Linked DNA regions of Danio rerio. The protein of the gene in region 2 interacts with the protein of the main gene of each other region in a pairwise test. Links are inferred from orthologs where the notes say so. Each region holds a gene or a part of one and is shown on either strand. Other genes may lie near its edges.

The links. The genes of interacting proteins can lie anywhere in the genome.
Region 1: the proteins of cass4 (region 2) and cdc42ep2 interact in binary tests that used the Homo sapiens proteins (3 or more experiments, as listed by UniProt). The link is inferred for Danio rerio from reciprocal best matches to the Homo sapiens genes CASS4 and CDC42EP2.

Annotation. Positions count from the first base shown.
Region 1 is NC_133180.1:38,620,677-38,625,377, reverse strand, and holds the start of cdc42ep2 (cdc42 effector protein 2), read right to left. Parts: upstream 3,388-4,701; 5' UTR 3,186-3,387; intron 1-3,185. UniProt on the Homo sapiens protein: Probably involved in the organization of the actin cytoskeleton. May act downstream of CDC42 to induce actin filament assembly leading to cell shape changes. Induces pseudopodia formation in fibroblasts in a CDC42-dependent manner.
Region 2 is NC_133186.1:29,872,882-29,877,648, forward strand, and holds the start of cass4 (cas scaffolding protein family member 4), read right to left. Parts: upstream 2,914-4,767; 5' UTR 2,756-2,913; coding exon 2,750-2,755; intron 1-2,749. UniProt on the Homo sapiens protein: Docking protein that plays a role in tyrosine kinase-based signaling related to cell adhesion and cell spreading. Regulates PTK2/FAK1 activity, focal adhesion integrity, and cell spreading.

The sequences.
Region 1 (4,701 bases), on a different chromosome or scaffold from region 2:
GATGGTTTGAAGAGCTCTTTTTCACAGTTTTCTGGAGAACCTAACAGTATTCAGTTACAGAAACTTATTACTCACAATTGTCTAGTCTGAATATCAAAAACATTCTTAGACCAAGTAAAAAAATTGTTTAGTTTTCACTGTCAGATGAAATAGTTGAAAATTAAGAGTTTATTTGCTTGTTTTAAGGAAATTAGGAAAGTTAAATAAACTTGCTTTCACTATGACATGTAGATATTTGGATTAGAAACAAGACAAAAATTGTAAGCAAGACATGTTTTTTGCAGAAATCATATAAATTCCATATAAATACAATTCTGTGGCTTTTGGTCAACTGTAATTCAGATTGGACATTGCATACCTTTGCAATGAGACTATTGCGAATATGCACATTGCGATATCGAAACTAAAACGATATATTGTGCAGCCCTAGTTTCAAGTATTATTTTTCAAAGTCTTTTTACAAATGTGCGAATCATCGACACCAAAGGAAACTGCCTGAATGACGATTGTGAATGATGAAAGTGCATAGCATTTGCACATGAACATACCTTACACATGCCATTGAGCTGACTCACTAAACTGAGCTAGATAATATTGAACTGCAGATAAACAGAGACCAATTACCACATCAGGTTAGCCCTGACTGAACCAACAGAAGAAGTGATTCATTAGATTACATTGCATACAACCTGCAAGTCGTTTCATTACAAGTATTAGCTTTTATCTTTTTTTCCATCTAAAAAGAATCCAGACCGACAAGCACTTAAATCACGCAAGCAACTAATGTAATGAGGTCAATTGGATGTAACCACAAATCATTTTGACTACGCATAGTAGCATTACCTTCATAATACTGTAAAGTTGAAGGGTAAATGCTGTTTGAAACTAAAGTGGGTCAGCATTAGCAAGACTTGCATAAAAAAATGTTTGGATGTCAGAAGGCTCTAATCAAATAACAACTGAATAACAATTTTTCCAGAGAAGGAATCAGGCAAGTCCTGTTCAGACTCGCAGAGGAGTGTCAGGAAGTGCCAGTGGTTTTTCTCTTATGGTATTCAGATATCTCTGTGTTTATAACAGTCTAATCGTAAATGTGAAACAATTCTGTGGAATTCTGATTATGGAGAATATGTACCGTCACTTAAGCCAATTAAAATCATGCTTAAAAACCGGAAAATAAACTGTGCTGCTCCTCTCAAGGCCTGAGCTTGTTTATTAGTTTCGGAAAAGAAGTGAACAATGTTCCTAGAAAGTGTAAATGAGGCGCTGTGTTCAGGCAAGCCCAACAAACTGCTTTATTTGTCAGACACTGAAATAAAACACAACACTTTTGGTTTGTTTAGCACAGAGAGAGTTACTGTTAGACATGACGATCAACCATCAAAACACAAATGTTGTGAGGTGAAAAACGACCCAGATCTCAATAATGCACATTGTTCAACATGATGACAACAATGGTAAGAAACTTAACCTTACTTATAAAAAACTACCTATTGGAAGCTTTCTTTGGAGCCTACTCAACAAAATCAAAAGATCTTCCTGACATTTTAATTATAAACTGGTTCCAGCCGATCAAAACAATCATTAAACCAATAGTGGTAAATGAGAGCAAGCATGCACCGTTAACACCCTCAATAAACATAACCATCAGTGGAGTTTTAGTAGATCATTTGAATAAACAAATTAGCCACAAAACACAGCAAAACATAAAACAGTTGAAAATTGCAATGATACTGTGTTGAAAGTAACTGACGTGCCCAGACTAAGTGAGAGATGGGTCAGCAGAGCACCTCCCCCTGAGGGGCCTTGAAGACTAGCTTAAAAACGCTGAAAGCAGCGGAAGCCGTTCTGTTTGAATGAAAGTCAATGAAGGAAAACAGTTTGTGACATTGATTGTGTGTAGAAACAACATATAATATAACCGTCTGTCTGTTTATCACCATAAACATGTTTTACAATTGAGCAGAATACTCAAATTGTTTTGTTAATTCATGAACATTTTTGTAAAGTATGAGTAATTTTATAGAAAACTGCACCCCTATGGGATCCTCAAACAACAATAGCATTCAGTAATATCCTAGCCATTGTGCAACTTTACTACACTGTAAAAGAAAAACAGTTGCCTTAAGTTTTTGAGCTGAAACAAATTAACCCTTTGATGCACAAGCTATAAAATAGATATAGAAAAAATACACTTAGATGGGTCACTTTAGACCCATGTAGTGCATCAAAAGGGTTAACCTTATGAGTCTTTTGAACTTATATTACGTTAAACTGACTTAAAACTGCTTGCATAAATTGTTAAATTAAGTTAGATCATGGTTAACTTAGATTAATCAACTTAAAATGTTTGCTTCCAGGACTAATTGATCATATAAATGTTTACAATGTAGGCACATGAGATCAATGCCTTGCTTTTTGAATTTTTCCCTAATGATGTAAGGGTAAAGGATATTATACCACTTTAGATTGAAATAAAGTTACATTTTCTAAAAATAAAAAAATAACATTTGCCTACTTCAAAAGAAATATACAAACATTGTGGACAGTTTTGGGTTACTTTTACCAACAGCTTATTAAAATTCAAGCATGTCTAAACTTCCTTATACATTCAAACATTCATGCAGAGTTCACCTTACCTTCTAGTTCGAAATTAAACTTGGATCAAATGAATAAAAAAAAGAGTTTGGATTGAAATCTGAAGTCATTGAATGTGAAAGGCAACTGTGTTGTGAGGCAATGTTGTGTTTTGTCATTACCTCTGTTCAAAGCTCTTACAGAACGTGCTGGCTTTTACATTTTTCCCACAACCTCCAAAAAAAAGTACCATCCGGGCATAATGGAAAAACGTAATTATTATTCAACTTTGTGAAAAGTAGATGATACTTTTGCGATTGAAACAAGTCTAGTGCGCAGGCTACATCTCACATGGCAGCAGCTCAATGTCACTGCAGTTTGCGCGCACCACCCTGCGCTCATTTTGCCATAAGAGCAAATCCACACAACATTATCACTGACGGACACCATGAAAATGTTCATACATCACAATCGAGCGAGTTTAAACTTTAACTTTCCTTATAAAACATAACTGATCTGACGTAAGCAGAAACCCTACACTCAACTATGCTACTTCACATTGTGCATGCATTTCAACTCCACACGCAGGAATACAACATTTTGCTTACCGCTGAGATGCTCGTGTGCTCCACTCCTTTCCAGAAACTATCTATGCCCTGCTCTAAATGATTCATTACCAATTCTGCTAGGTCATGTTCACTTCTTTCAGCGCGAAAACCTGCCGAACTGACAGAAGTACAAAAATAACCCTAACACACTTGATACCGCATACCTATAGAGCGGGCGAGCGAGTATCTGCTGATCCGGTAGAAATAGAGCCTCGCTATAGAGCGCTTTAAGCCCACCTCACATCACATCACCGCTGCACAGACCGCACAGGACTGGACTCAGTGGATCTGGATTGCCATTGATATCTACAACAATTGTGTTATCCAGGCCATTATTTGTCACTTACCGCCGCGTTGTGCCGCTTCTTCCGTGTTTGCTGAAGATTCCAGCAGGACAGGATCGAAGTGAGGCTGTAACGCATCCCGCACACACACACTGATGTCAACTCACGACACGCGGTGACTCAATAGGCTAATGTCAAGTTATCACACCCTCCACACCTCTCAAAACGATATCACAATGTCTCCTCCTCTAATCTTACATACTGACTGTACTTGCATAAACAGTTTATCATGACATCCTCCGCAGACTGAAACGGCTGTTTTCCGCTTTTAACAAGAATTTCCAAGATGCTAACGTGATTGTCTCTTAAAAACTTAAAGCTAGACCGCCGATAATAGCTAACTTTTTTCTGCAATGTATCTTGTGTTCCAGATGCTTTCCAGATCATCATGCAGTGACAATGACAGGATATCCAATGGAAATGTATACCTGACGTCATGCAGAAGAGCACATTTTTCAGTGAACCAAATAATCTAACAGTTAAAAGAGATTTTATTAGATGGTATTGATATCAAAGATTGAAAATGTAATTATGCATTTCTTAAAAGTTTGAATTATTATCCTGCAACTTTTAGACATAAGTACTTTTGGAATAACCAATTTGAGAATGTCAATTGGAATTTGATCTATCTTAAAACAACAAATATTGTGTCACTATAAAGTCAGTGAAATCTACTTTAAAATTATACCGAAAATATATCCAACCAACCAGTTTCTCAAGAGATATAAAGTTGACCTTTCTGAATCTTTTTTTTTTTTTTTTGGCAGAGTGGATATTGAAACTGTTATGCAATTTTTTTGATTGTATGTACACTACTGGTCAAAAGTTTGGGGTCAGTAGGATTTTTAAAAATGATTTAAAATAAGCTCCTCCTGCTGAGCAGGTCTGCATTTATTTTTATCAAAAATACAGTACACATTGTACAACTGAGGAATGTTATTGCGCTATAAAATAACTGTTCAAAAGTTGTTTATCATTTAATTTAATCATTTATTCCAGTGACTTTAAAGATGTATTTTTAGCGTCATTACTCCAGTCTTCAGTCACATGATCCTTCAGAATTCACTCTAAAATAAATTGTATTGTTATTATTAATAGTAATATTTAATTAATATTATTATTAGTACAAAAAACAATAATGACTGGAGTAATCATTTCATTTGAAACTGAAA
Region 2 (4,767 bases):
ACTGATATCTGTCACGCTACATCACAAACCATTAAAATAAACAGTATAAGGAAGATCGCAGAAATGGCCAAAAGGTCAAGTGAGGGAAAAACCTGGAAGTAAGACATATGAAATATAATACAGAAGCAACATTAATAGCTTTAGATCTAGTAAGACTTCTTCTTTTTGATTTTGTAAGAAATTAATTATTTAATGCGGAAAAAGCTGCATTGAATCGTTCAAAATGTAAGAAATAGTAACAATTATGTTTTACATATCTACGTATATGCTCATGTATACAGCTATTTATGTGTCATTTTTCTATATGACTATACTTCTCATTTTAGGCGGCATGGTGGCTAAGTGGTCAGCAAAGTTCCCTAACAACAAGAAGGCTGCCTTTCTGTGTGGAGTTTGCATGTGTTCCAGTGTATGTGTGGGTTTCCTTCTGTCTCCCCCACAGGCCAAACACATGCAATGTAACTTCATTTGGATCGGTAACCTTGGAGTGTTTGGATTGGTAGAATTGGATAAACCAAACTGGCAGTATTGTGTGAATAAGAGAATGTGTAGGTGTTTTCCAGCACTGAAGGTTTAGTATACTTAGAATTACTGTACTCTCAGGGCTAGGTTGCAAATGGAAGGACATCTGTCGATAAAGATGTATGTCAGAGAAATTAGCGATTCATTCGGTAGCGACCCTTGATAAAGCAGGGAATAAGCTAAAGGAAAGTGAGTGAGTGAGTGAGTGAGTGACTTCTTTTATTCATGTAGTCATGTTTGGGTTTGAGTCAATTTTTTTATAAAGGTCTGATAATTTTTCATTAAAGTTTCAAATAAGATATTATTTGATAATATTATAAGATAATAATAAGTCATCATTTTTTCCATTAAGTAATAGTTTACTAAATAGTAATAGTAAATAATTGACACTATTAATGTTTCAATGCACTTTGAAAGAAAATGCAGCTTTGGAGAGCAAGAGAAAAAACATATTTCATAAAATAAATTCACATAGCTTCCCTAAATCTTAGATTTACACTTAAGAAATCCATAAAATAAAGAATGGACAGGCGGTTCATAAACCTATAAATCTGTTCTTCAAAGTTTCTTCTTCATGCTTCAAAGTTTTAGAAACAGATATCATGGCCTGATCATTTCAAAAGTGCAAGTAAATGTATAAATACACACGAAAAAAAAATCTTTGTTGAAAATAATACAGTGCTAATAAACAGATTTTTTATTTACTGTGCAAAATTGCACTTGATACTCTCAGCATGTCATATACTGGGCAAAATATTTAGCCACCTGTTGTGATCTTCTTACTGATTCTGGCTTTGAGCAAGACATGCGTGAAATCACAAACCACAGCCGTGGTCAAAGTCACAAATGAAAATCACAAATCAGCAATATTAAAGAGACAGGTCACCAAAAACTGGAAATACTCTCCCTTCACTTGTTCATGTTTGAATTTCTTACTTCTGTTGAACACACACACACAAAAAAAACATACTTCAAGAAAGCTGAAAACCTGTAACCATTATCTTTTCATACTATGGAAGTCAATAGTGACAGGTTTTTAGCTTTTTTTCATGAGATATTCTTTAGTGCAGTGTGTGAATTATACATTGACGATTGGGGTAGGGGTGGGGGGAACACATGCTTCAGTGAATCAAATTAATAAATTACATCTAATTTACTTCATTTTCAGTGTTTTGAGGGATATTTAGTGACTATTTTAAAGGCCACTGTAAGTCAAACTATAGAAATGATGTGTCTGAATGATATTTCTCCTAGCATTGACTGGTGCGATAATGCATTTACAATGGTATACACCATTATAGAGAGATCAAATGTATGTGATTATACATTTAATTATTAAAAATATTAATAATCCCCCCTCCCCTCATATAACTTGTTTTGATGTACTCAATCCCCGCCAAACCCCCCTGTAATTCACACCCTGCTTTAGTTCAACATAATTTGCAGGTTTGGAACCATTTGAGGGAGAATAAATAGTGAGAAATGTTTATTTATAGGTGAACTATCACTAAGTTCTTCACTCCTCATACACACACCACAAAATATTAAGAAAGTAATATATATATATATATATATATATATATATATATATATATATATATATATATATATATATATATATATATATATATATCCTGGACTTTTGTTTCTTTCAATAAATAGCTCAATTAAATAAGATGTCAGCTAAATAGTGAGTAAATTTTTTATTTTAAGGTGAACTATCACTAAGTTCTTTACTTCGACACACACAAACCACTACCAACACCACAAAATACACCAAAAAGAGCCAGGATTTTTTTCATTCATTCAACAGCAAAAGTGTTGTTAACCTACCAAAAATCCACCTACAACAACAGAGATTTCATTCCTCGCTTAAAGCTGTAACCTCTCCTTTCAAAAGCCCAGCTCGTGTTAACGACAGTCATAAAGTGCCATATATTCTCTCTTCCTTTCACTCTCAGGCTTCGCGGCATCACATTTCACAGCAAATTTAGGGCTGTGAGCGAGACTGAGGGCAAGGGTTACCGGCTGACAGCGCATCTGAACGGTGAAAACCCAGCAGTTGCTTACCGGCGAGAAAAAAATAAACCCGGATCTTGTTTGAAACCCTGACAGCACGCTTGAAGCTTTCTCTGAACATTTCTACTCATTCTGAAAGTCTGAACACACATCAGAAAGAAGATGAGAGGATTTTAAAATGAATAATAATAATAATAATAATACCGACCTCCATCTTTCTGAGTTCAAGCAGTTTATAAATCCCATTCAAAAGTCCATGTTGGCTTGACGGTTAGCATCTAAATCTGTTTGTAATTTTAATGTCTGTTAAAAGTATGTTGCACGTTCTTCTCAGTCTCTCACACAGACACACTCATACACACACACATATTGGACAAATAAACGGAGAGCGCAGACAGTTCACAATAAGGGGCGGGGTCTGAAGCGCTCACTCATGATGACGTCTCGCTCTCATTAATTCCAGCCAATCACAGCCCTGTCTGACAACATCTCCTCCTCCAGTTTCTGCAGAAAATACATGTTTTTAGGAAGTTGGTTAAACTTGAAACAAAAAAAAGTTCTTTTCCAAAAAGAGAAAGACAAAGTCGGGCAGTTTTACTATGACTTCCACTATTTTTATTGTTTTATTTTTACTCTGGGCTGCACATGCTTGAGCTGAGTTCCTGTTTTAATGGTATGGATTCTTCAGGGGCGGGATTTTGTTGCTGGGACGACAGATTATGGCAGTGGGTGGGGGTGTGGAGAAAAACCAATGATATACGGTAGGTCGTGGCCAGGGCCAGAAAGTTATTTCTTTTGAAATGCAAAATTTACCCCCTGTACCGAGAGATTGGGGCTTATTTACTTTAACAAGGGGCATATTTCTATTTAAAAACAAAGTATTAATAACCATTTTTAATTTCATGAGATTTCTTTTACATCATTGATGTTGTAATATTACATTAATTTAGTTGTTCCAGTGTAAAACGAGCTAAAAACAAAAGGGAAAGTGCTAACGCCCTCAGGATCAGCAGGCTAGCACAGAAACTCCAAATGAAACTGAATGATCTTTTATGCAGTGTGGAGCACAGCACTAATGAAACACCCAGCTGAGGTTTAAATCTGAAAGTGCACCAGGTTTAAAACTATTGATTCTTTAACAAAATAGTCAGCCCAAAGTTGAATAAATGAATCGTGTTGGGTTCGGATCTTTTGCTTGAATGCGTCGACATCAATACGGTACATCACCAAATATGTAGGTCCAGATCCGGTAAAATGTGAACGCGCCTTTCCTTCAGACACTAGCGAAGCGATGAGGATTAGGGGACTGATCATGGCACGAAGATGACGATCACTGACAGATGGGAGATTCGGCTGCGGCTTTGACAAACATGTTTCCATCCATATCTAAAGTATGTGTGTGTTCTTTTGATAAGCTTATTTTTTTTATAATTATTTGAAACTTAAAAAATAAAAAAAAACTTTAAAAAAATTAATTATTATTATTATTTTTTTTTTTGCTGTTCAGTTTTTTATACATGTTCAGTATTGATGAGAGAGTAACACATTTCACTGCAGCTCTTTCTGTGTGGGTGTGTGTGTGTGTGTGTGTGCATGCTCGCGTTTGTGTTTTTTGTTTCTTTTATGTTTTAAACCTATTTCAGAAGTCAAGTATTGCCACAATAGAGCTTATTCAAAGGTAAGTATTATATATGAATGACATACATTTAAAGGCAAAATTATTCAGTCTTTGAAATTTTAATTGTTTTTCAAATTTATCCCATGATGTTTAAAAAAGTAAAAAAAAAAATGTCAGCATTTCTTATAACTGTGTTTACTTTTCCTAATGAACCTAGTTAAGCCTTCTCCTATATTGCAATGGAAGCTGAATATTAGTATCTTGCTAAATAACTAAGAATGTGTTTAAACATCTCCCCCTTAACAGCACTTACATACATTTTTGCTGTGGCTGAAAAACAGTTGACTGAAAAACTTCAAATAAAGTAAGTAAAAGTGGAATTTATAGCACAAACACTTTCTTATATGTATGCAGAAATGATTTGTTTTGTTTTTTATTACTCCTACAGGTTTGGAGCCACATGAGGACCAGTGTTGACCGATTTTTTAATAATTTTTTACAATAATTTTTTAGATTGAGTTTGTTAATTATTTTATTTATTTTTTTTATTGGATATGTGATTGCGATAAATGTTGGCAGTTGCTTTAAAAGTATGCTATATACCATGG